4 linked regions of the Arabidopsis thaliana genome follow. The protein of the gene in region 1 interacts with the protein of each later gene in a pairwise test. Each region holds a gene or a part of one and is shown in the gene's direction. Other genes may lie near its edges.

The links.
Region 2: the proteins of ABCI12 (region 1) and LHT2 interact in a protein complementation assay, tested with the Arabidopsis thaliana proteins (one large-scale study listed by BioGRID).
Region 3: the proteins of ABCI12 (region 1) and AGP16 interact in a protein complementation assay, tested with the Arabidopsis thaliana proteins (one large-scale study listed by BioGRID).
Region 4: the proteins of ABCI12 (region 1) and NRT1.7 interact in a protein complementation assay, tested with the Arabidopsis thaliana proteins (one large-scale study listed by BioGRID).

Annotation. Positions count from the first base shown.
Region 1 is NC_003074.8:7,600,764-7,605,895, reverse strand, and holds ABCI12 (cobalt ion transmembrane transporter), read left to right. Parts: upstream 1-1,996; 5' UTR 1,997-2,175; coding exon 2,176-2,538; intron 2,539-2,648; coding exon 2,649-2,765; intron 2,766-2,847; coding exon 2,848-3,084; intron 3,085-3,169; coding exon 3,170-3,334; intron 3,335-3,434; coding exon 3,435-3,510; intron 3,511-3,578; coding exon 3,579-3,643; intron 3,644-3,734; coding exon 3,735-3,887; 3' UTR 3,888-4,074; downstream 4,075-5,132. Other genes in the region: AT3G21590 (Senescence/dehydration-associated protein-like protein), read left to right, coding at 107-311, 381-454, 725-846, 974-1,140, 1,257-1,345.
Region 2 is NC_003070.9:8,650,771-8,655,956, reverse strand, and holds LHT2 (lysine histidine transporter 2), read left to right. Parts: upstream 1-2,041; 5' UTR 2,042-2,395; coding exon 2,396-2,577; intron 2,578-2,661; coding exon 2,662-3,045; intron 3,046-3,252; coding exon 3,253-3,646; intron 3,647-3,731; coding exon 3,732-3,837; intron 3,838-3,934; coding exon 3,935-4,026; intron 4,027-4,117; coding exon 4,118-4,186; intron 4,187-4,295; coding exon 4,296-4,394; 3' UTR 4,395-4,550; downstream 4,551-5,186. Other genes in the region: AT1G24405 (uncharacterized protein), read right to left, coding at 519-704. UniProt on the Arabidopsis thaliana protein: Amino acid-proton symporter. Transporter with a broad specificity for neutral and acidic amino acids. Basic amino acids are only marginally transported.
Region 3 is NC_003071.7:19,017,389-19,021,186, reverse strand, and holds AGP16 (arabinogalactan protein 16), read left to right. Parts: upstream 1-1,822; 5' UTR 1,823-2,078; coding exon 2,079-2,193; coding exon of another isoform or gene 2,194-2,252; exon of another isoform or gene 2,253-2,350; coding exon 2,351-2,457; 3' UTR 2,458-2,923; downstream 2,924-3,798. Other genes in the region: AT2G46320 (Mitochondrial substrate carrier family protein), read right to left, coding at 3,167-3,296, 3,370-3,428, 3,564-3,713. UniProt on the Arabidopsis thaliana protein: Proteoglycan that seems to be implicated in diverse developmental roles such as differentiation, cell-cell recognition, embryogenesis and programmed cell death.
Region 4 is NC_003070.9:26,313,578-26,320,906, forward strand, and holds NRT1.7 (nitrate transporter 1.7), read left to right. Parts: upstream 1-2,209; 5' UTR 2,210-2,630; coding exon 2,631-2,817; intron 2,818-3,382; coding exon 3,383-3,600; intron 3,601-4,941; coding exon 4,942-5,507; intron 5,508-5,628; coding exon 5,629-6,520; 3' UTR 6,521-6,656; downstream 6,657-7,329. UniProt on the Arabidopsis thaliana protein: Low-affinity proton-dependent nitrate transporter. Not involved in dipeptides transport, but has a weak glucosinolate transport activity. Involved in phloem loading and nitrate remobilization from the older leaves to other tissues.

The DNA of each region.
Region 1 (5,132 bases):
TGGTAAGTGTTTACGTCATTACCTTCGATCATCCAACATTATATAGGAACGAGCCTCACATATAAACCAAACTTAAAAGTACTACTGTACTAAGAAAGAAGACACAATGTCCACATCAACCCAAGAAAACCAATCTGCCCAAGCGGTGAACGAAGAAGTTTTGTTGGAGAATCCCGATTACGGAGTCCAAATCGTCGATAAATCCGAACTGTTGGAGCTAGCCTTGAGTTTCTTAGGGGAAGACGGAGAAATCATGGAAAACCCTGAGTTTCTTGGAGATATCATGGGGGAGAAATCTTCAAGTACTTCAGGTAAGAACAACAATGAAATTGATTGGAAAAAGTTTGCACCGAAGGCTGAAGACTACAAAAATGGTGTAGCCAAGGCCATCGCGGTAGGAACAGGGCATATCATCAAGGGAATCTTCACTTGTAGCAATTCTTACTCTAAGAAGGTCTCATACATATAAGTCCCTCTCATGATGCTTATGAGTGTTAATAGATGATTGTGATTTGAATCGAAATATTTGTTGTAGTAAAGAATCATGAACTTCCAATTCAAACCCAACTTGTGGAACGACTTATGTGTTTTATTTACTAGTATAGATCATCTTATTTTTGTGTTGGATTTTTAAAAACTTTTATATGAACATGGAGATGTAAGACGCACATATTGTAGTATTTTTTATTATTAATATCGTTTTATTTTCTTACAACAAAAACAGATTCACGAGGAAGGAACGATTGCTGAAGAGGATGAGGAAAGAAGTGGTGACATATCACAAATTGATGGAGGTGGCAACAATGAAACTAATAAGAAGAATAAACTCAACAAAAATCTTCAAAGGTATTCATATTTTAATCTCTATCCCACAAAATAGTATATATTATACCAAACAATAAAATCTTGGTTCTTGTTCCTTCTTATAATGAACCAAATCTTGGTTATTTTGTTGGATGTAACATATACATAGAGCGGAGAAGCTGTGGAAGGTGAGCGAGGCTATAGGAATGGCGGCCTTAGAAGGTGGAGATTTGGTGAGCAGTTCGATGATAGCTCCGGTGGTTAAGTCGAAGTTAGGGAAGGCATTGTTATCCACTGCTCCAGGAGAGGTTATCTTGGCATCACTTGATTCTTTTCGTAAGTTACATAGAATAGCTCCATTAATTGTCAATCTATACTCATATTCATTTATTTTGAAGTTTTTGAGATCAAAATTTAAATAAAACAGATAAACACTTTGATGTGGTCAATAGATAATATAATTGGTGCTGCTGAAGCGGCAGAAATACAAACTCATTATGCCACATCCATGGCTGCTACTAGACTTGTGAGTAAGAGGTAAAAAGCTCACTTTGTGATCCTCAATTTTGAGAATGAATTATGTTTCTATAGTAACACACCGGTATTTGAATCAAAAGAATGATTATATCGGTAGAAAATAAAATCGAAGTTGGTAGAATTATTGTATAGCGTGCATACAATCTAATAATTAATTACCAAATAGTTTTGAGGGGTAGCTAATGATTTTTAGAGATAGGTTATCATTTTTATTTGTTAGGATTGTTTAGATGAGTTATATAACATGTTTACATGACCATCGAATTTTACAATTTTATACATTTATTGAGTTGAGTGTAACACATATTCACATTTTTGTGATGACCGCACCAAAGTTTTGGAGAGAAAGCCGGAAAAACCACCGGAATAATACTGGAAACAACGGGCAGCTTAGGCCGAACCGCCTGGAATATTCAAAAAGCTCTCGAGCCAACTTTTTCCATCACCTCAAAAATTGTCAAAAATGCTCCTAGGCAGTAATATGTTATCTATCTTAAAAGCTAAGTTACATTTTCATATGCTGTATTGTATCAAATTACTTAATCTTGGTTTTGGTGTGGCTATGACTCTACGAGAAAAGATTTATACAAAAAGAGTGTGAGAAAATCCAAAACGAGTCTATATATACATCAAATTCGAACAAGAACCGAAATCCAAATTTTGGTATACTTTGACTTTTGTTATTATGAGAAGTTGAGAACCACAGTCAACGTCCGACAAAACCAACAAGTACAACAGTTTAACACTTGACAGTTTACAGTATCTCTCTCTCTACCAAGTACAGAATTTCCCGCTCTAGGGCATATGTCTGATCCAATCCGAAATTGAAAACTCATGAATCACTCCAATCTTGCCAATCCAACAGTCTCCCTCACCGTAACCCTAATCCCCAAACACCCAATTCGTCATCTCACATCTCCAATTCCTAACCGGAACTTTACAAACCCTAAGCTTCTCTTCCCGCTCCGGCTTAATGAGACTCCTTCCTCCTCTCTCGCCGCGAAAAGGGTTTTCATTGTCAGAGCCACCGTCGACGGAGACGGTAAAACCGGTAATTGGGTGAACCGGTTACCAATTCCAGGACTTGGAGCCGAAAACGTCTTCAGATTGATTTCAAGCGCCACCGGAAGTCCCATCGGACAATTCATATCGTCTCCTGTGACATTTCTCCACTCGGTGGATCCCAGAATCAAATTGGTATATTGAATTCTTGATTCTTATCAAATTTCTAATCCAATTTTGTTAAAAAGTTTGAGTCTTTTTTTTTTTGTTAAAGCTTGAATTTTGGTATTTGTATATATGTGTAGGTATGGCTATTAACTCTAGTAGTTCTTCCAGCAAGAGCAAATCTAGTTGTGCGTTTAGGACTTGTTCTATGCACAGCTCTTTTGTCAATCCTTGTTCTCCCAAGACAAGTTTGGATAGTGAGTTCTGTTTCTCTGTCACAACTCTGTTTCTATATGTGATCTATCTGCTCTGCTGAGTTTCCTAACTTTTTCTGTAAAGGATCAATTGGCGAGAGTGTCGCTTCTTTCGGGTATTCTCTTCATAACATTGGGGCTAGGTTCAGATGGTGCACCTCCAATGCTTCAATCAAGAACACCACCATCTTCAATCACAAGCTTGCCTAATCTTCCCATGTCTTTAAGCGGTTATTCGTACATGTTACTGAAGCTTGGTCCTTTGCAATTCACAAGGAAAGGTTTGTCTGTTGGAAGCACAGCCGCATGCTTAACCTTTATTGTAAGTCGGTTTTTCGACTTCCGCGGTTTACCTATTTCCTTTCTTGATTAGATCACTTAATGGAACATTTGGTTTTTGGTCACAGATCTTCCAAAGTGCTAGTATTTGCCTTGCAACAACAACACCAGAGCAACTTGCACTAGCTCTACGTTGGTTCTTGTTCCCATTGACATATATTGGTGTTCCAGTCAGTGAAATTATCCTCACGCTACTGCTTTCACTGAGATTCATTAATTTGGTTTTCGATGAGGTAACGACTGTTCACTTATTCGCTTTAATATTATCAATCAGCCTAGTTATTCCAAGTCCTAAACCACATAATGGTACGTTGTGCATATGTTACATTGTAGGTCCGAAGTGTTTCACTGGGAATTGTATCGCGAAGAGTAAACTGGCAGCAGCTTACTGTTCTGGAGACACTTGATAGTAAGAATCTAAAAGTTTCTTCTCTCTTTCTATATACATCTCATCTTACAAGTGATCGCTTTTTGTAGTTTTCGCGTCATTCATACGCCGCATCTTCAAGAATATATTTCGTCATGCCGAACAAATATCACAGGTCAAATAGATTTCACTTATTATCATCTCATTGATTTGAGAATCAAATAAGAATTCTCTGTTGAAGAAGTTTGTAATTTATGTGCATGCAGGCCATGATTGTTAGAGGCTTCAGAGGAGAGAGCAGTAGCCACAAGATCTACTTCTTCTCTGGCTCTTCGAATAAGTTTGCAGATTTTGCATCAGTTTTGTGTTTAATCGGTGTAATCTCAACCGCACTCTTGTCTGAATACTTTCTTGTCTAATATTGATTCATACTAATCTTTATTCGAGCTAAACTTGGAACATAATTCAGAAGAAAAGATGATCTTGAGGTAGAATCTCTATCATGATCATCCAAATGTTGTATGTGATAAATTTCTTCCCCAATGTGTAAGATTTCGTTGGGGGTCCGGTTAGGGTAACACAATACAACTTTGTTATGCTCGCCGACCAAGAAACTCATCCCATCAGCAAACATATTCCAACTCGGATTAATGGTTTGCACTGTTGAGAACTTGCTCCATGAGATGACTGAATCCATACTAGTTGTCACCCATACATTTAAGTCTTGTGAATGTGTTTCATCATTATAATAACCTAACACTAACAGACAAAGTTTTCTATTTTTGCACGAAGAAATTATACCTAATGAAACAAATACCCTTTAGAAAAAGTGTAAGAAATTGCCACATTTCTTCTTTCAAATTACGTCAAAAATACAATCTATACTTAAAGAGTTAAGAAAGATGATCCCAAGCCAACCAAGGGCGTGATCTCTTCAATCTCACTCGATAAAGTCTGGTACACCCTTGTGTGATTTGATATGGTTTTCGTGTCCAGAAGAGACAAAGGCAGACGAAAACAGTGTCTCACATCTTTTTCTAGAAAATAACGGGTCAATGTCTTCCCAAGCCACTCGTGCTTGCTTCTATAAACAACATCAATCTTGAATTCTACCAAAAACACTCAAACTATATTTCGGCAATATAGTTTCTTGCATTGGAAGCAATCACTTGTTTCCATCATCACAGCTTGAAAAAGATTTGTCATTGGAATTAGTTCATATTTACAGTTCTCATTTAAAACATGTCAATATATGTAGTCCAATGCTTGTTTGATTAATCCCATAGAGCAACATTACATTAATTCAGCAAAAATTAGATTTGTGGAAAATCAAATTTAAAAATGGAAAAACGGACAGGGAAACAAACTAAATTAAACAAAAAGAAAAATAGAATTATGTGTTTAGGTTACAGATGCATCGTTACGAGGAAACGAAGCTCTGACAGAGAAGCCATTTTCTCCATTTTTGTCATCTCTTCTAATTTCTTCTATTTATTCCAGTATTCCATTAACCAGCAAAAAAACTCATAAATTAGATTATTTGTAGATTTTAACCAATTTACAAAAATTTCGAGCAGGAATCGAAGAAAAGGACTATTTGACCCTTTTCTTCTTCCTCCTCCCTCATTTCTACCACCACGATTTCTTCTTTATTTATTAGCCGC
Region 2 (5,186 bases), on another chromosome or scaffold:
GAACATCTCACTTTGCTTGTTGTTTGCATCCAGATGGTGACGCGGCATTAGATTAAACTATGCCTATATGGCATGGTTTATGAATTTTGTGAGAGGTTACTTGTCGGTACATCCTGCATGTTGCTGATTTTAGTAAACTAGGATAGTGATATTTTGAATCGTTGTTTATTGCCTAGACGTCTTTTACGAGTGTTTAGCGATCCATTAAGTTTTCTTTGTCATTTTAGGTATTACAAACTCAAAAGGATGATTTTTTTTACATGTACTCATCTAATAGGATTAATGATTTTATAATACACCTTTAATAAAACAAAAACACAATTCCTGGTCGCTATTAAATTCTCACCAACAAAAATATAAATACACAATCAACCGCAACCAACGAACTTTCTAAATGTTAAAGATTTAACAATTACAATCAGAAGAATGGTTAAAAGAGAGAAGCAGAACTTAATGGATTAATCACAAGGAACAGATGAATCAATAACCCTTTTGTAACTAAACAAATAACCTATTGATTACTTATCAGATTTCTTGCCAAGTTTCATCCATTTGAATCCAAGTATGGCCTTCCCGATACCGCTTTTGCTTCCATCTTCCTTCTTCTTCTTCTTCTTCTTCTTCTTATCGTCTTCGTTACTTGAATTTGGAGGAGGATCAGAGTTGTAATCCCATTGATCAGCCCATGATAGTCCAGAATCCATCTTCTTCGTCTCTCTTTAAGATTTTGTGGAATGAGAAGGTTTAGAAACAAATATGAGGGTGAAAGAAAGATTTTGTTTTACTTATTATAGACAGTATTGGTTTGACACAATGTCTATAAGTTTCTTGGTTGCTTATTTTTGGGGTTTATCTGTTTTTAGTTGTGCCTCTTTGCCCTTTGGTTGGACAAAGAATCAACATCTTTCACCTTTGACTGTGAAAACCCTTCAACAAGAAAAGAACCCCTTACCTGAAACACTTGAATTTTTTTGAGTAATCAAAAACTATACGCTTCAACGGTTCAACCTAATTTCTCTTTTACATTTTATTCAACATTTTCAAAGGATAGTTGAGTAGATTAATTACTGTTGATAAAAAACGACATACAATTTTTTTTGTCACGCTTTGAAATTATATTATTACGCTTGTTTCGTTTTGTGACATTGTACTACCAACAATAATTGTTTTTTATAGTCAACCATATCATTAATCGGAGCGGTCCCTTGATTCGTTCGAGCGACCCTCTAATCAATTGGGAATACTGTGACAAATAACCATGCATTTATGCTTCAACAATTTTAGTTTTCCTTCATAAATATCACGGGATGCAAGTGACGCTAAGCATAAATAGTTCGTCTGTTTCATTGACTTTGTAATAGAAGATGAAAAAAGAAAATATATAGATATTTATCTTCCTTTTGATGTCATGACGTTTCGTGATTTTGATTTACAGTGTCAAAAAGAGAGATTACGCTAGCGAAACGTCACTACGACCAAGATTTAGTTGGAGTATTTATACTCTGATCATTCTCAATTTCTCATCATCGACATTACAAATATGCAAAATTAACAAAAAATAATAATATATACAACTCATCACCTTATATATCTAAGAGCGTTTTGTCTAACTAATAATATGTTAGCATTTTTATGCCACTATTAGTAATTTAATAATATAGTTATTGCTTAAATATATAGATTTTTAACATATTTTCTCTTAGATATATATATATATATATATATATATATATATATATATATATATATATATCAAGATATAAATAAATTCTACTAAAAGAAAAACAAAAAAACAGCTAATTTTTTGTCGGTCAACTCAAAATAATCATTAAATGAGAAAGATATATTTATCTATCGAATAAATATTATTTTATTTTTTAAAAGCGAAACACTCGTTAGATCAGGTGACCATGAAAAGAAAAATTCAGCTCTATCCAAAAAAGAAAATAAATCATGCAAATACAGGGAGAAAAAAGTACGAAATTACAAAAAAAAGCCATGTCAATGTAAAGAGAATCATTGAATCAAGAAGAACGATTGGGGGTAAATTAGTATTTAAATTGGTCTAAGCATGAAACAGCTTCCAGCCGATGGTGCCTTATGCCTCGGGCAAAAAAAAAGACCAAACACACTAAACAAAACTACCAAACAAACTAACAAACATTCCCTTCAAATTCGGAAAAGTCAGAATCTCATCACCTATTTATTACACTCTCATAAACGCTAACAAATCGTTGAATAGAATAATTAAGCAGGTAAAATCCTAAACCGTCAGAGAATATCTATCCTCCTCTTAAATATCACTCTTATCTTTATCCTCCTAAAATCTTCTTAATTGTATCTAATCTCTTTCTCAAAAACCAAACACTATCTCTCGATTATATCACAAGGAGATATGGGGAACAGTGAAATGTCAGCGAGTGAGGTTGCGGCGGCCAAGCAGAAGAACGTCGACGATTGGTTACCGATCACATCTTCCAGAAACGCTAAGTGGTGGTACTCTGCTTTTCACAATGTCACCGCCATGGTTGGTGCTGGTGTTCTTAGCTTGCCCTACGCTATGTCCAATCTCGGATGGTATACTAATTTGTTGAATCTGATAATCTTAATCTCCTTTATGTTTTAATCCATGATCTGATCTGAGTTTTTGATGTATTACAGGGGACCTGGAGTGACGATTATGGTGATGTCATGGATCATAACGTTGTACACACTGTGGCAAATGGTGGAGATGCATGAGATTGTTCCAGGGAAGAGGCTTGATAGGTATCACGAGCTAGGTCAACACGCTTTTGGTGAAAAGCTTGGCCTATGGATCGTCGTGCCGCAGCAGCTTATCGTGGAGGTCGGTGTTGACATCGTTTATATGGTCACAGGAGGAGCATCCCTCAAGAAAGTCCATCAACTAGTCTGTCCCGATTGCAAAGAGATCAGAACTACGTTTTGGATCATGATCTTTGCTTCCGTCCACTTTGTTATCTCTCACCTTCCCAATTTCAACTCTATCTCCATCATCTCACTTGCCGCGGCTGTTATGTCCTTAACGTAAATCTCTTCAACACACATATATTGGTTTTACTTTATAACTTGAACAGAAAGTTAGAATAATTAACCTAGAGCATGCCTTGTGGTTCAAGGCTAGGGATCAAAATTGTTGTATATTTTCCGGTTATTAGAAGAAAAACTTAGCATAATCCCAAAATATGTAGAAAACTAGGTTTTATTGCCTGATGATTTTTATGATCTGTACAGTTACTCAACTATTGCTTGGGCTGCATCCGTGCACAAAGGGGTACATCCAGATGTGGACTACTCTCCTAGAGCATCAACCGATGTTGGAAAAGTATTCAACTTCTTGAATGCGTTGGGAGATGTGGCTTTTGCTTATGCAGGTCACAACGTTGTGTTGGAGATTCAGGCCACAATCCCTTCGACTCCGGAGATGCCATCCAAGGTCCCAATGTGGAGAGGAGTTATTGTAGCCTACATTGTAGTCGCCATCTGTTACTTCCCTGTAGCATTCCTCGGCTATTATATCTTTGGAAACAGCGTTGATGACAACATCCTCATCACTTTGGAGAAGCCTATCTGGCTTATTGCTATGGCTAACATGTTCGTGGTTATCCATGTCATTGGAAGCTATCAGGTATTCTTCCACATTCTAGTACTTCTATATTTTTGATTGAAGTAAGAATTATTTCATGAATATTGACACCTTTGTGTGGATTCAGATATTTGCAATGCCAGTTTTTGACATGCTCGAAACCGTTTTGGTCAAAAAGATGAATTTCAATCCTTCTTTCAAGCTCCGCTTCATTACTCGTAGTCTTTACGTCGGTAAGAACCCACTCCTCATTTATACATATGTAACGTCATCCTCCTACTCCATTCATTAATTAATCTCATTTTCATCAATGTACATTGGACCGTGCAGCTTTCACGATGATTGTTGCGATATGCGTCCCGTTTTTCGGTGGACTACTCGGCTTCTTTGGAGGATTCGCCTTTGCCCCAACAACTTACTACGTATAGTACAAATAATCCCTTCATTTCTTTATTGGTTTATCCATAGATTAAAGTTGTGAATTTATATACACATATTAATTTGTAACTGCAGCTTCCATGCATTATGTGGCTCGTTCTCAAGAAACCAAAGAGGTTTGGTCTATCTTGGACAGCTAACTGGGTATGTTCTTTAGTAATCAATGGTACATAATCTATAGCTCTTGTTTTCTTGTAAAGTAACAATTTTTGTGTTTTGGTTTGTTGGTGTTGTGGATTATGAAAAAATACAGTTCTGCATCATAGTAGGAGTTCTTTTGACGATCCTTGCCCCAATTGGAGGACTCAGAACCATCATTATCAACGCCAAGACCTACAAGTTCTTCTCTTAGATGGATCACTTTTTTTTGTAACCGCGCAACCGAAAAATAAAATCACGGCATGTCTAATTTTATGTGACTGTCCGTTTAAGTAAATTTTATGTTTTCATTGTAGTTAAGACAATTATCTTTGGTTTCTTTTGATAATAAACTCTTTTTCAAATAATTAATCTCCATGATCTGGTTCTTCTAATGTTGTGATTTCGTAATTTATGCAAGAACGTACACGGGAATTTTATGACACGTCTAGATGCAATGTTACCATGGTCAGCACGACACTGCGTTTTGTTTTTCTTTATGGTTTATGGATACATTTACATTAGATGATTTGGATCTGTGGTTAGATTTAATCTTAATCACGGGGTTTTCACCTGTCAACAATATGACATGACTTGAAAACGAATTTATACTTTCCAGTACAGCATGCATGAGTGATGAGAATAATTTAATAGCTTCGTTTATTATTTTGGCTTTTCAAATATCTTGATTTATACGTTGTTTTTGTTGATACGTGAACCTGTGATTCTGGTCGTAACTCGTAACGCCACATGTACCCTTTTGTGGAGAGTTTACTTGTAAACGGCAGACCAAGAACAAAATGTCCTTTCATCAATTTCTATCTAATAGAGAAATCGGCAATTTTGGTTATAAAGCTCTTTGATGAGTCTTCTCCTTGTCCTGCCTTAATTATCCTTTATGCTAGGCTCGGCTTCATCGTTACAATTTGCTCCGATCCAGCTTTGATTAAACTCGCTCTATATGTACATGATCTTCTTGTTTCTTTGTCTATGCATGTATTTTGTC
Region 3 (3,798 bases), on another chromosome or scaffold:
TTTTTATATACGAAGTTTATTATTATTAACATCAATTGATTATTCATATATTTTTAATCAAGTGGCCTTTTTAATAACTCTCTATTCTTTTGACGTAAGAACAAATAGTAACTTTTATTTGTAGAATATTCATTCTAAGAAATTAATACGTAAATACATATATTTCTCACCCGTGAAACACCACCAGTCGAGTAACGTGATTGAAGATATGTTTAAAAAAAAAAAAAACATGATTGAAGATATGAGAGAGCAAGAGTCAGTGAACTATTTTGGCCGCACACATGTGACACATATATATATGTGTATTATTCCTTTTGGATTTACTACATTCATTCTGATTTCTGAACCATTAGTAACCCTTGAAAAGTAAAAGCTGATAACGTTTTAGGATTTGCAAATTTGAAAAAAGATGACCCTACATTATTTCCAACTGCAACATGCACGTTCCTGTTATGTTAAAAGATATTATTATAGTATATATATTTTGAAACATAAAATGATTGATGTAACTGATCCAACGGCTAATTCCTCTTACTAGTTAGTGAATTAGCCACCTAATAAAGATTACATGAATCATTAAATAACAAATATAATAACTATACAACAAATAATTCATATTGTCGTACATTCAACAACCGAGGTACTCCAAATTAAAAAAGAAGTCAAGCACACTCATATATATTTTAATTTTTAACTGATAACCTTGAAAGAAAAAGAAAAAGGATATGGAATAGAATGGTAAAATCAATCAATCTGCCATGGTTATGAATCAAAAACCATAGAAAAATCGTTATTTACTGTTTAGTATTATAAATAGTGTCAAGTTAAAAAGTTTTTAATATTGTAAAATACACTCTACCTAAACAAAACAGCATATGTAAGATAACATCATCACGATAAATTGTTTTATTCTGACACCACATGTGAGATAGATAGGAAAATCTTTAGTATTTAAAAAATCAAAATGTTGGCAGATTAACCGATAATCACGCAGATTAACACCTACTGAGATAGCCGTTAAATAAATTAATCGACATAGCAGAAACAAATAATTGAGTATCAATAAAAAAAAGGAATAATAGAGAGAGAGAGAGACTGACTAATGAGTCACATATGACGAATGAGTCCAGTTTGGCTGCCAGTCTGTCAGCCCCTACCATTACACCACCTCTAAAGATTTGTATTTTATCATAATCCAACCAAACAATGCTTACAAAAAAAAGATAATCACATCACATCACATGGCCTTCTTCGTCGCTGTAACGTTTAATTAAACTAGCCGCCAATTTCTTTTAAAGATTTTTTTGTTTTGTTTTTGGGCTTATGTTTAAACCATATAATCCATAACTTCATTTCTATTGCTATTTTTGAATTTACCCTATAAAGCTACCAATATTGAATTTTTGTAATTCATTTAAGTTTATTACATAAATAATTTATTTACTTATATGATTATAATTTTTTTTATCGGCTATATGATTGTAATTTAGATCAGTACCTAATCAAGTTTCTATCTTTTTCTATCCGTTGACAGAAAAAAGAAAACAATTTTCTATCAACAATTCACAAATCAAATTGGATTAGAGATACAACAACTTTAGTCAAAATTCTAACACAACAATTCATACTTTTGATCATTCAAACATGATTTTATTTTTTATTTATCTAGAAACATAGTAATGTCAATTTTGACAATTATTCATTCAAAAAAAAATGTCAATTTTGACAAGAAAACTAGGAAAAAAAAGAACAATAGAGGAATGGTCAAAAAAGAATAAAAGAAAATTCGAGGAAAATCATGCTTCTTAGAAGTTTTTTGTTTAATTAGCTTGACTAGTAAATAGATTTGACCGGATAAATAACCGGTTGAAACCGGTAACCTTTAACCGGTCTTCATACTATAAGAACACCTTAAACAAGTCGTCTCCTTCCACTTCTTGCTTTATTCCTCTCATACCGTTTTCTCTCTCTCCTCCGTCGTCTCTGCAGAATCACTCTCTCGCCGGAGTTTTTCACCTGCAGAGCTCTCGATTTTTTCTCTCGAGCATCATCATTTTCGTCGGATCAATCACCAAGAGATGGCGTCGAGAAACTCCGTCACCGGATTCGCGTTGTTCAGTTTTGTATTCGCCGTCATCTTATCTCTCGCCGGCGCTCAATCCCTGGCTCCAGCTCCTGCTCCCACCAGCGATGGTAAGCCTCTCTACTTCTCTCTCTCTCTTCTTCCACGATATTCGCATTTCCAGATCTGAATCGAGACTCTCTCCGCGTGAAATCTGGAAACAGTCGAATTGGATTACGAATTCGTTTCTCTCTGACATTTGAAAATGGTGTGTTTTGGAAATGGCAGGAACATCGATAGATCAAGGGATAGCGTATTTGCTAATGGTGGTGGCGTTAGTGCTGACTTACCTAATTCATCCTCTTGATGCTTCTTCTTCCTACTCCTTCTTCTAATCTCTCTCTCTCTTTCTTCTGTTTTTTTTTATTTCTTTGCAACTTCTTATTAGTTTCTTCAATTTGCCTTTTTTCTTCTTCTTGTGGATAAAATTTTCAAGAGTTAATTTCATCATCATGTTCTCGATTATGATTTCTGGAGATTGATTGATTGATGATAATCTCTACTGTTTGTTCTTTTTTGTTTATTCTCTTCCATATTAAATTTATTCTTCTTCCCTTATAATATTTGTGTAAATGTCATCATTTAGCTTAAATTACCAGATATTTGACAATTACCAACTTTATTGGCCTCACAAAAGAAATCTCTGACCAGTTCAGAAGCAGGATATGAAAGCCAGAAAATTTGCTCAACTCTTTTGAATTCGATTCTCAAAGTCTTATCTTCAGATTACAATTTCTCATGAAAAAGTTTATAAATCACGGAATTGTATATATGCCATTTCACATGTCATTTATAAATCACACCCTTGATCAGCATGCATGGAGTTAATTTCTTGCCATAAGAATCTCGTGTTAATTTACTTGTTCTTACAAAAAATATTAAAACGAAAAACAAATGCAACAACTTGCATAAATAATATTCCTTCTTGACAAAAAAAAATCAAGTTTTGCCGTAAGCACCTAATACGGTAACCTTTATTGGATTAGACGCGCAAGTGTGTTCTTTTTAGCTTCGCATCAAAACAAAATCTGTCTAGTATAAGTGTTACTGTTGGTGGAAGTTGTGCAGTCCGTACTTGACCACTTCGTAAAACGATACCACAATGGCTACAGATGGTCCTGCTCGTCCCACTCTAGCCCCTGCTCCACTAAACATCCCTCTCATCCCTCCGTCCCTATACCAAAAACCCGACCGGGATGGTTAAGTTTGGAAACACGAAAATTGTCTAATGGATCTCTAACTCATACCTCCAAATCTCTGCCAAGGTTTGTCTTGTGGTCATTGTCATGGCTCTATCTGTGTTCTTCTGCATAATCCAAACAAATTTAACTGTTACTTGGTTTAAGATCCAAAACTTACTTAATGCAAGCTGGCGATGAATTCTAGTTTGTAGAGCAACACAGTGGAATTATGAAAGATGAAGTGAAAAAGGTATGTTTACCTCTATTTGACGCCTAGTCTTTGCAACATCTAGAGGGCAAGTAGCTGCTGCAGCAACTGCACCCGCAACAAAACCAGCAGCGAAGTTTGCACCTATTATACTGCCTGCCCTTGGTTCTTCACCCATGGCCGACTGAATGCTTCTCCGGGTCTAAAGTCACAATGAAACAATCGTGAGGACATGGATGGAAGACACAATGGGTGAATATGGATGTGTTTTTCAGAGACAGATTACT
Region 4 (7,329 bases), on another chromosome or scaffold:
TATTGGTTTAAAGGTCTAATAGAATCTTTAATGTTGTAATGTGTCTTAGACTTAAATGAATTCATTACTTGAAGACATGTATTCCACGCTGAAAACACAATTCTTTTGAATATAGTTTTATGATATAATCATGAAAACCTATATTTAGATTTGCTTAGGACTCTAAATATATCACAATGGATACGATCTTGAAATCCCACTTATTTCATCTAACTCCCCAAAAAAAGAAAAAAAAGATGAATTTGTTATGCACAACTGGATTATAAAAAATCGACTTTTATATCAAAAACCTGAATTCAATCTAACAGTATATACTACAAAAAAATGATCAAATGTTTATATATGTAGGTGCAAATATTTTCCTATAACATACTTGAGATAGTAACTTAAGAAATGATTAATAATTATGTTTCTTTCAGCAGGGTCAAAAATGTATTCCCACATTTAACATGCTTTAGTAAGTAATTATGGTATACTTTATAAGAGGATATTATATAAATATCTCTTAGTATAACCATATGAAGTCGGTAGATATGATCCTCTCAAATACAAAATAGAAAAAGTGAGCTTTCTAAGAGTTGGAGTTATCTATCAAACTCCATATACATTTTTCGTTATTCGATCATGACCATTAAAATGCATATGTTTGATAGTGACCCGCACCACACAGCTCAGCATATTGAGACAGATTAGTAAAAGCAGTCCAAACCTTAGGCACCCAGTCCACGGTTCATATCATCTGACCATTGAGAATGGTGAAGAGAGATAAGATGATCGAACGGTGTACAATAATATGACCATAAAATCGAACGGTGATACGGTATAGGATCCCACGTAAAGGTCCAAACAAAAAAAAATTAATAAAGAAGAAAAGACAAAGAGGGTTTGCGTAGAAATTTGATGGCTCGCGCATGCGACAGTGTTAGGCACTTGCATTTGCCTAAAAGGCGATAAAAGCCTACCTCATCTTATCGTATTTCTCTTTCTGTTTCTGTCTTCACTCACCGATTTTTATGTTTGTGTTCAATTTGAATTTTACAAGTTTGGTTGGACTTAATCTTTCCTTTAACATAAACATTCAATGATAATTTTATTATTAATGTTCATTTCTTGTGAAGATTTTCATTGTTTCTATATATAATATATATTTTACATTGAGAAAAAAAAATGATGCGAATTGTTTTGAAGTTGAAGTGGTTGATTAATATTTTTTTCTACAATAAATCAATGAAAATTTAGAATTGAAAAATATCTAGACATGGAATTTCTCAACTCAACATCTAGATAAACATATGTACCACACATTCGAGCAATCGTATAAAATTATATACGAATAAATAGAATTAGTTTCTTTCTCGGAAATTCTGTTAATATTTTTAGGAGGATTAAGTGGGTTCGAAATTTAATCACTTCCTGCACAAATTCATCTCAATGTATTAATTGGTGATATGTCATTTTTTTATTTTATTTTTTGGTATGAGCTTCCAAAGTTTTAAGGCCAGCTCTATATGTGTACTATTGTTTCTAACTTTATTATATTAAATTTTGGTGATATGTGTTTCTTTGTTTGATTGCAACCCAAAATAGTTTAAGGTTCATCTTAGAGTGCGATGACTTTTTGTGCAAAAATATTAGATCATGTTGGTATGTACGTTTTGAGTTTTATTTATTTGTTTACCAATTGAACGACTCTCAACAAGCAATTGTATGCCAAGATGACATATTGGACGTTTCAAGTGTGTGAATTGTATAAAGCAGTAAATAAAATCTACTCTTATTAACTAGTTTGAAAGAGAGTTTTAACTTCGAAGAATCTATCGCCATGAGTCAAAATCGTATAAATGTGACAAATGTTTATCTCTATCAATAATAGTAAAAATTTTAAAAGGTTCTATATAAATTTTAAGATTTTGTCAGGATCATTAAAGTGTAGAACTAAGTCAACTGATTGATTAATAGAAAAAATCGATACAATCTCACTTCCTTTAAGAAAATAAAAATAAAATATGCTTTAGAGAAAATAAAATCTCGCTTATTTATGAGATATCATATCATTTTTAGGTAAAAAAGATTAGATGTCCTTTTGAGACACATCATACCATATATATGACCGACAACACACATAAAACCGCGTGAACAAAAAATATCATCCATCAACCCCTTACGATGCAAATGTACTGTAAAAGATGGTTCATTAATTTAACATCGTATTTTAACGTTACAATTGTATGGAACATGGAAGGTTCACAATACGTGGAACAAAACAATAATGTTACGTACGGTGTAAGAAAAACAAAAAAAACATAGCACTAAAATAGTTTTCTTTTAATTTTCCTCTTCAAACTTCTCACGTGGAGGCTACTAGTGGCGAACGTCATTCAAATTTACCCACACCCACCATATATTATCTACTCACTCCCTTATATATACACACTTCCACAAATAATTCACTACACCCAAAAAAGCTTCTAACAAAGAGAAAGTGTCTGTATGTTGTGCCCACTCTCTACATTTATCAATCACTTCATGTGTGTTACCTTGATTGCAAAAAAGTGAGAATATATTCTCACAACATTAAATCCACCCCGAAATCGAAGTGAGTATATCACGAGTGTAGTAATATCTTAGAGATGGTTTTGGAGGATAGAAAGGACGGTTCTTCTTTGCCGGGACGATCCGGTAGTTTCTCTAAATCGTCACCGTCGGAGTTGGATGTTGTTGATCCCTACAAGCGGATAAGTTCGCCGGGATCTATATTGGATGCTGAGAAGGTAGAGAAAAAGCCTGGAGGATGGAGAGCCGTCTCGTTCATTTTAGGTATTTTAATTTTATTTTTAGGCTTCGTGTACATAATTTAGTTTACCTAATCCTTGACCTTTCCTCAGTTATTGGCTAATATTTTTTTGTTAATTTCCTTAATTGGATATATAGTTCTAGAAACCAGTTAATATATTATCATTGGGAGATGTAACGGGCCGTTGCAAGATCACGTTCTGCCTAAATCATTGCACATAATAGTCAGAACAAAAGAAATGAGCGCATAATCTTTTCAGCTCGATCAAAAATTATATTATATATTACTCTCGTAACCGTCGGTCCAACATGTTTGACACTCGTCTAGCTGACGACTTTATAACTGAAATGGAATAAAAATTTGTCATCATAAGTGCTCTTTTAGCCAAAATGTTAACTTTCATTTTAAATTATTTTATACTTTTAAATTTTTATAATATTTTATTTCTCTCTATTTAATGGAATATGATTAATTTTGTTAGTGATGATAATTACTAGATAAAATGGAGTATAATTGATATTCTTCAATAGAGGGATTATTTGTCGATTTATTTGCTGATAATATTTTGTAATAAAATGGGTTGAATAGGAAATGAGACGCTGGAGAGACTGGGATCGATAGGATTGTTGGCAAACTTCATGGTTTATCTAACCAAAGTGTTTCACTTAGAACAAGTCGACGCTGCAAATGTCATCAACATTTGGTCAGGTTTCACCAATCTCACTCCTCTCGTCGGAGCGTATATCTCAGACACTTATGTTGGCCGCTTCAAGACCATCGCTTTCGCCTCATTCGCCACTCTCCTCGTACGTATAATATTTTTTTATTTAACTTATTGAAAATTTTATATAATCTTTTTAAAAAACTAAAATAAAAATAAATAATCTAATGTGTCTACAAATACACAACATTTACGTACGTAGTAGTATTTACTTTATATGTTCCTAACACCTCAAATCCGCAACTATTCGCGGCCTACTGCCAGCATGGGTCAGTGCTTTAGCGTCCACTGTTCGAATAGTTGCATCCAACAAAAAACATAACAACTCTAAATAGAAAGTTCTATATTACTACTCAATTTACGTGTTTTTTTGTGTGTGTGGCGACGATACATGATACTTGGCACATAATTTCACCCCGCACGTGGACATGATAAGAAAATACGTATAGACAAATTAAATTAAGTATATATATATGTAAATGACAAAGTATTAACACTTTATATATTATTTTATACCTATTATGTTACTCTCTTTTTTTCTATATCAAAAGCTATTAAATTACTTTTGTATCGTACGAAAACGCATGAACTTATTGAGGGACCACGCTATCGAGGACGATAAGGTCGGTCAATAATGTGAATCATAAGAACAAAAGCATTAGTTAGTACACTTATTCTTGTCGGTATTTACCTTGAAAATTTATATAACATCCAAAAAAAATGGTAAGAAAATACTTATCTCACGTAAACATCTTTTGTTCATTGATGAAACATTTTCCAATAAAGGAGTTACGTATTAGAACGTGTTCTGTTTAAGAGATAAAGAGATGTGCGTAGAAAAGGAAGAGATACGCAAGTGGTCAATATAGATTATTGACAATGAGATTGTCCAATAATTGAGTGTTTGAGTTTCTTGATGATTTAGCTAGCTAGTTGGGTTTTAGATTTGGTCAGTATCACAGTGACGTTACGTATATAATAATAGTTACTTTTCTAGTGTCTGTTTCATTCACAATTATAGAATTATGATCGCATCCAACTTGTTAATTTCTCTTGCACTTTTTTGTCTTTTTCGTAATTAGTTAAACGTTGAACTTAAACTGTTACAAATGCTCATATTACTATATTAGGGTTACAACAGAAATAAATGATATTAGGTTCTACGTCACTGTCACTTTCACCTAATCAAGGTAACATCACTTTTCAATCATATGAAGTCAAACCTAATTAAGACTATTGTAAACTTTATTAATTGTTTGTATTTGTTCGCATAACTTCAATCTATATATCCCACACTACTGTTTGCTTTCTTCAATATTAATTAACAATCATTCAGTTTCAAGTTATATATTATAGAATATCTAATAATGAAGAATCGGTTTCAAAATTAATAATGACTGATTATAATTACATTGACAACATGCAGGGACTAATAACAATTACACTCACAGCATCGTTTCCTCAACTCCACCCAGCATCATGCAACAGCCAGGACCCACTCAGTTGCGGCGGTCCGAATAAGCTCCAGATCGGAGTTTTGCTATTGGGACTCTGTTTCCTCTCCGTAGGGAGTGGAGGAATACGACCTTGTAGCATCCCTTTTGGGGTTGATCAGTTTGACCAACGAACTGAGGAAGGGGTTAAAGGAGTGGCCAGTTTCTTCAACTGGTATTACATGACTTTCACTGTGGTTCTGATCATTACACAGACCGTAGTTGTGTATATCCAGGATCAAGTCAGTTGGATTATCGGTTTTAGTATCCCTACCGGACTCATGGCTCTTGCGGTTGTTATGTTTTTTGCCGGAATGAAGCGTTATGTCTACGTTAAACCAGAAGGAAGTATATTCTCTGGGATCGCTCAAGTTATCGTGGCAGCTCGTAAGAAGCGAAAGCTGAAACTTCCGGCGGAAGATGACGGCACTGTCACCTATTACGACCCAGCCATCAAGTCTAGCGTGTTATCCAAGTTACACCGCAGTAACCAATTCAGGTACTTAATATATGATTTTTGTTTTTATTTTTTGCTTATCACTTTCAAGGTGGTTTTAAGACAACACTGATTACATGATTTTGTATTAACCTATAGTCTAACTGAAATGGCATAAAATTAGGTGTCTTGACAAAGCCGCGGTGGTTATAGAAGGTGACCTAACACCCGAGGGACCTCCCGCAGACAAGTGGCGGTTATGCAGCGTCCAAGAAGTGGAAGAAGTGAAGTGTTTGATCCGAATTGTTCCTATCTGGTCGGCCGGAATAATCTCACTCGCGGCCATGACAACACAAGGCACTTTCACGGTCTCTCAAGCTTTGAAAATGGATCGAAACTTAGGTCCTAAATTCGAGATTCCGGCTGGTTCACTCTCCGTCATCTCTCTCCTCACAATCGGCATCTTTCTTCCCTTCTACGACCGCGTTTTTGTACCATTCATGCGGCGAATCACCGGCCATAAATCCGGAATCACACTCCTCCAAAGGATAGGAACAGGGATCGTTTTCGCGATCTTTTCTATGATCGTTGCGGGCATTGTGGAGCGTATGAGACGCATACGCTCCATCAATGCCGGAGATCCAACGGGAATGACTCCAATGTCGGTGTTTTGGCTTTCGCCGCAGCTAATTCTCATGGGACTATGTGAAGCATTCAATATCATCGGACAAATTGAGTTCTTCAACAGTCAGTTTCCAGAGCACATGAGAAGTATCGCTAACTCTCTCTTCTCTTTATCGTTCGCCGGTTCGAGCTACCTTAGTAGTTTCCTTGTGACTGTCGTTCATAAATTCTCCGGTGGGCATGATCGTCCGGATTGGCTAAACAAGAATCTCAACGCGGGAAAATTGGATTACTTCTATTATCTGATTGCGGTTTTGGGTGTGGTTAATCTGGTTTACTTTTGGTATTGTGCTCGGGGATACCGGTACAAGGTCGGTTTACCGATTGAAGACTTTGAGGAGGACAAGTCCTCCGATGATGTTGAGATGACTTCGAAGAAATCGATGAAATGATTTAATAGACTATCCTTAGGGACAACAAGAAGATTGTCGATGTTGTTTGAATAATTACTATGACAATGTATGTATCATAATATGTAAGAACTAGAATATTTAATAAAATTTTACCTTTCATTATGTAGAAGTGTTAGATATAGTTCACAGTTTTGTCTTATTTTATAACTTTGTCATCATACTCTCTGCCTGGAATCAGAAAACCATCTCTAACAAGTATATTTAAAATCATAAAAGTAATCTAGTTAGATGGATTGCATTTGGAACTATATCATATACACTATGTTATGACTTGATAGAAATATAAACAGTATAGTTTTAATTGATCATTTCTATGGAGGATCACGTTATTAGGCATAGTTTCATCCTTTATCGATTACGGACGGTAAATGAGTACAACCCAACTAATATGTTGTAAAGAAAAGCTACTACTGCTATTACTGTTAATATTAATATTAGACTTCTTGGGTACATAAAAAAAAAAAAAATATATATATATATATATATCATATTAGACTTCTAGAACACCAAGTCCAAAACATATTTGGCATGAAGCAAAAATATCTACTGCTTTATTTTGTGTCTACCTCTTTGCCACATGCTGTATATTCCATCATTCATTTAACCTACAATTGAATTCCGTTTTAACGTTTATTCACTCAATTAATATATTGGGGTTTGACAAAAATAAATAACTAGTATATAGGTTTGTATGCTTTTTTACTGTTAGCTAATAAATAGAAAATCCAAAAGAAGCTTTCATACAAAATCAACTAAATTAAAATGAAAAGTTATAAGGGAATCATATA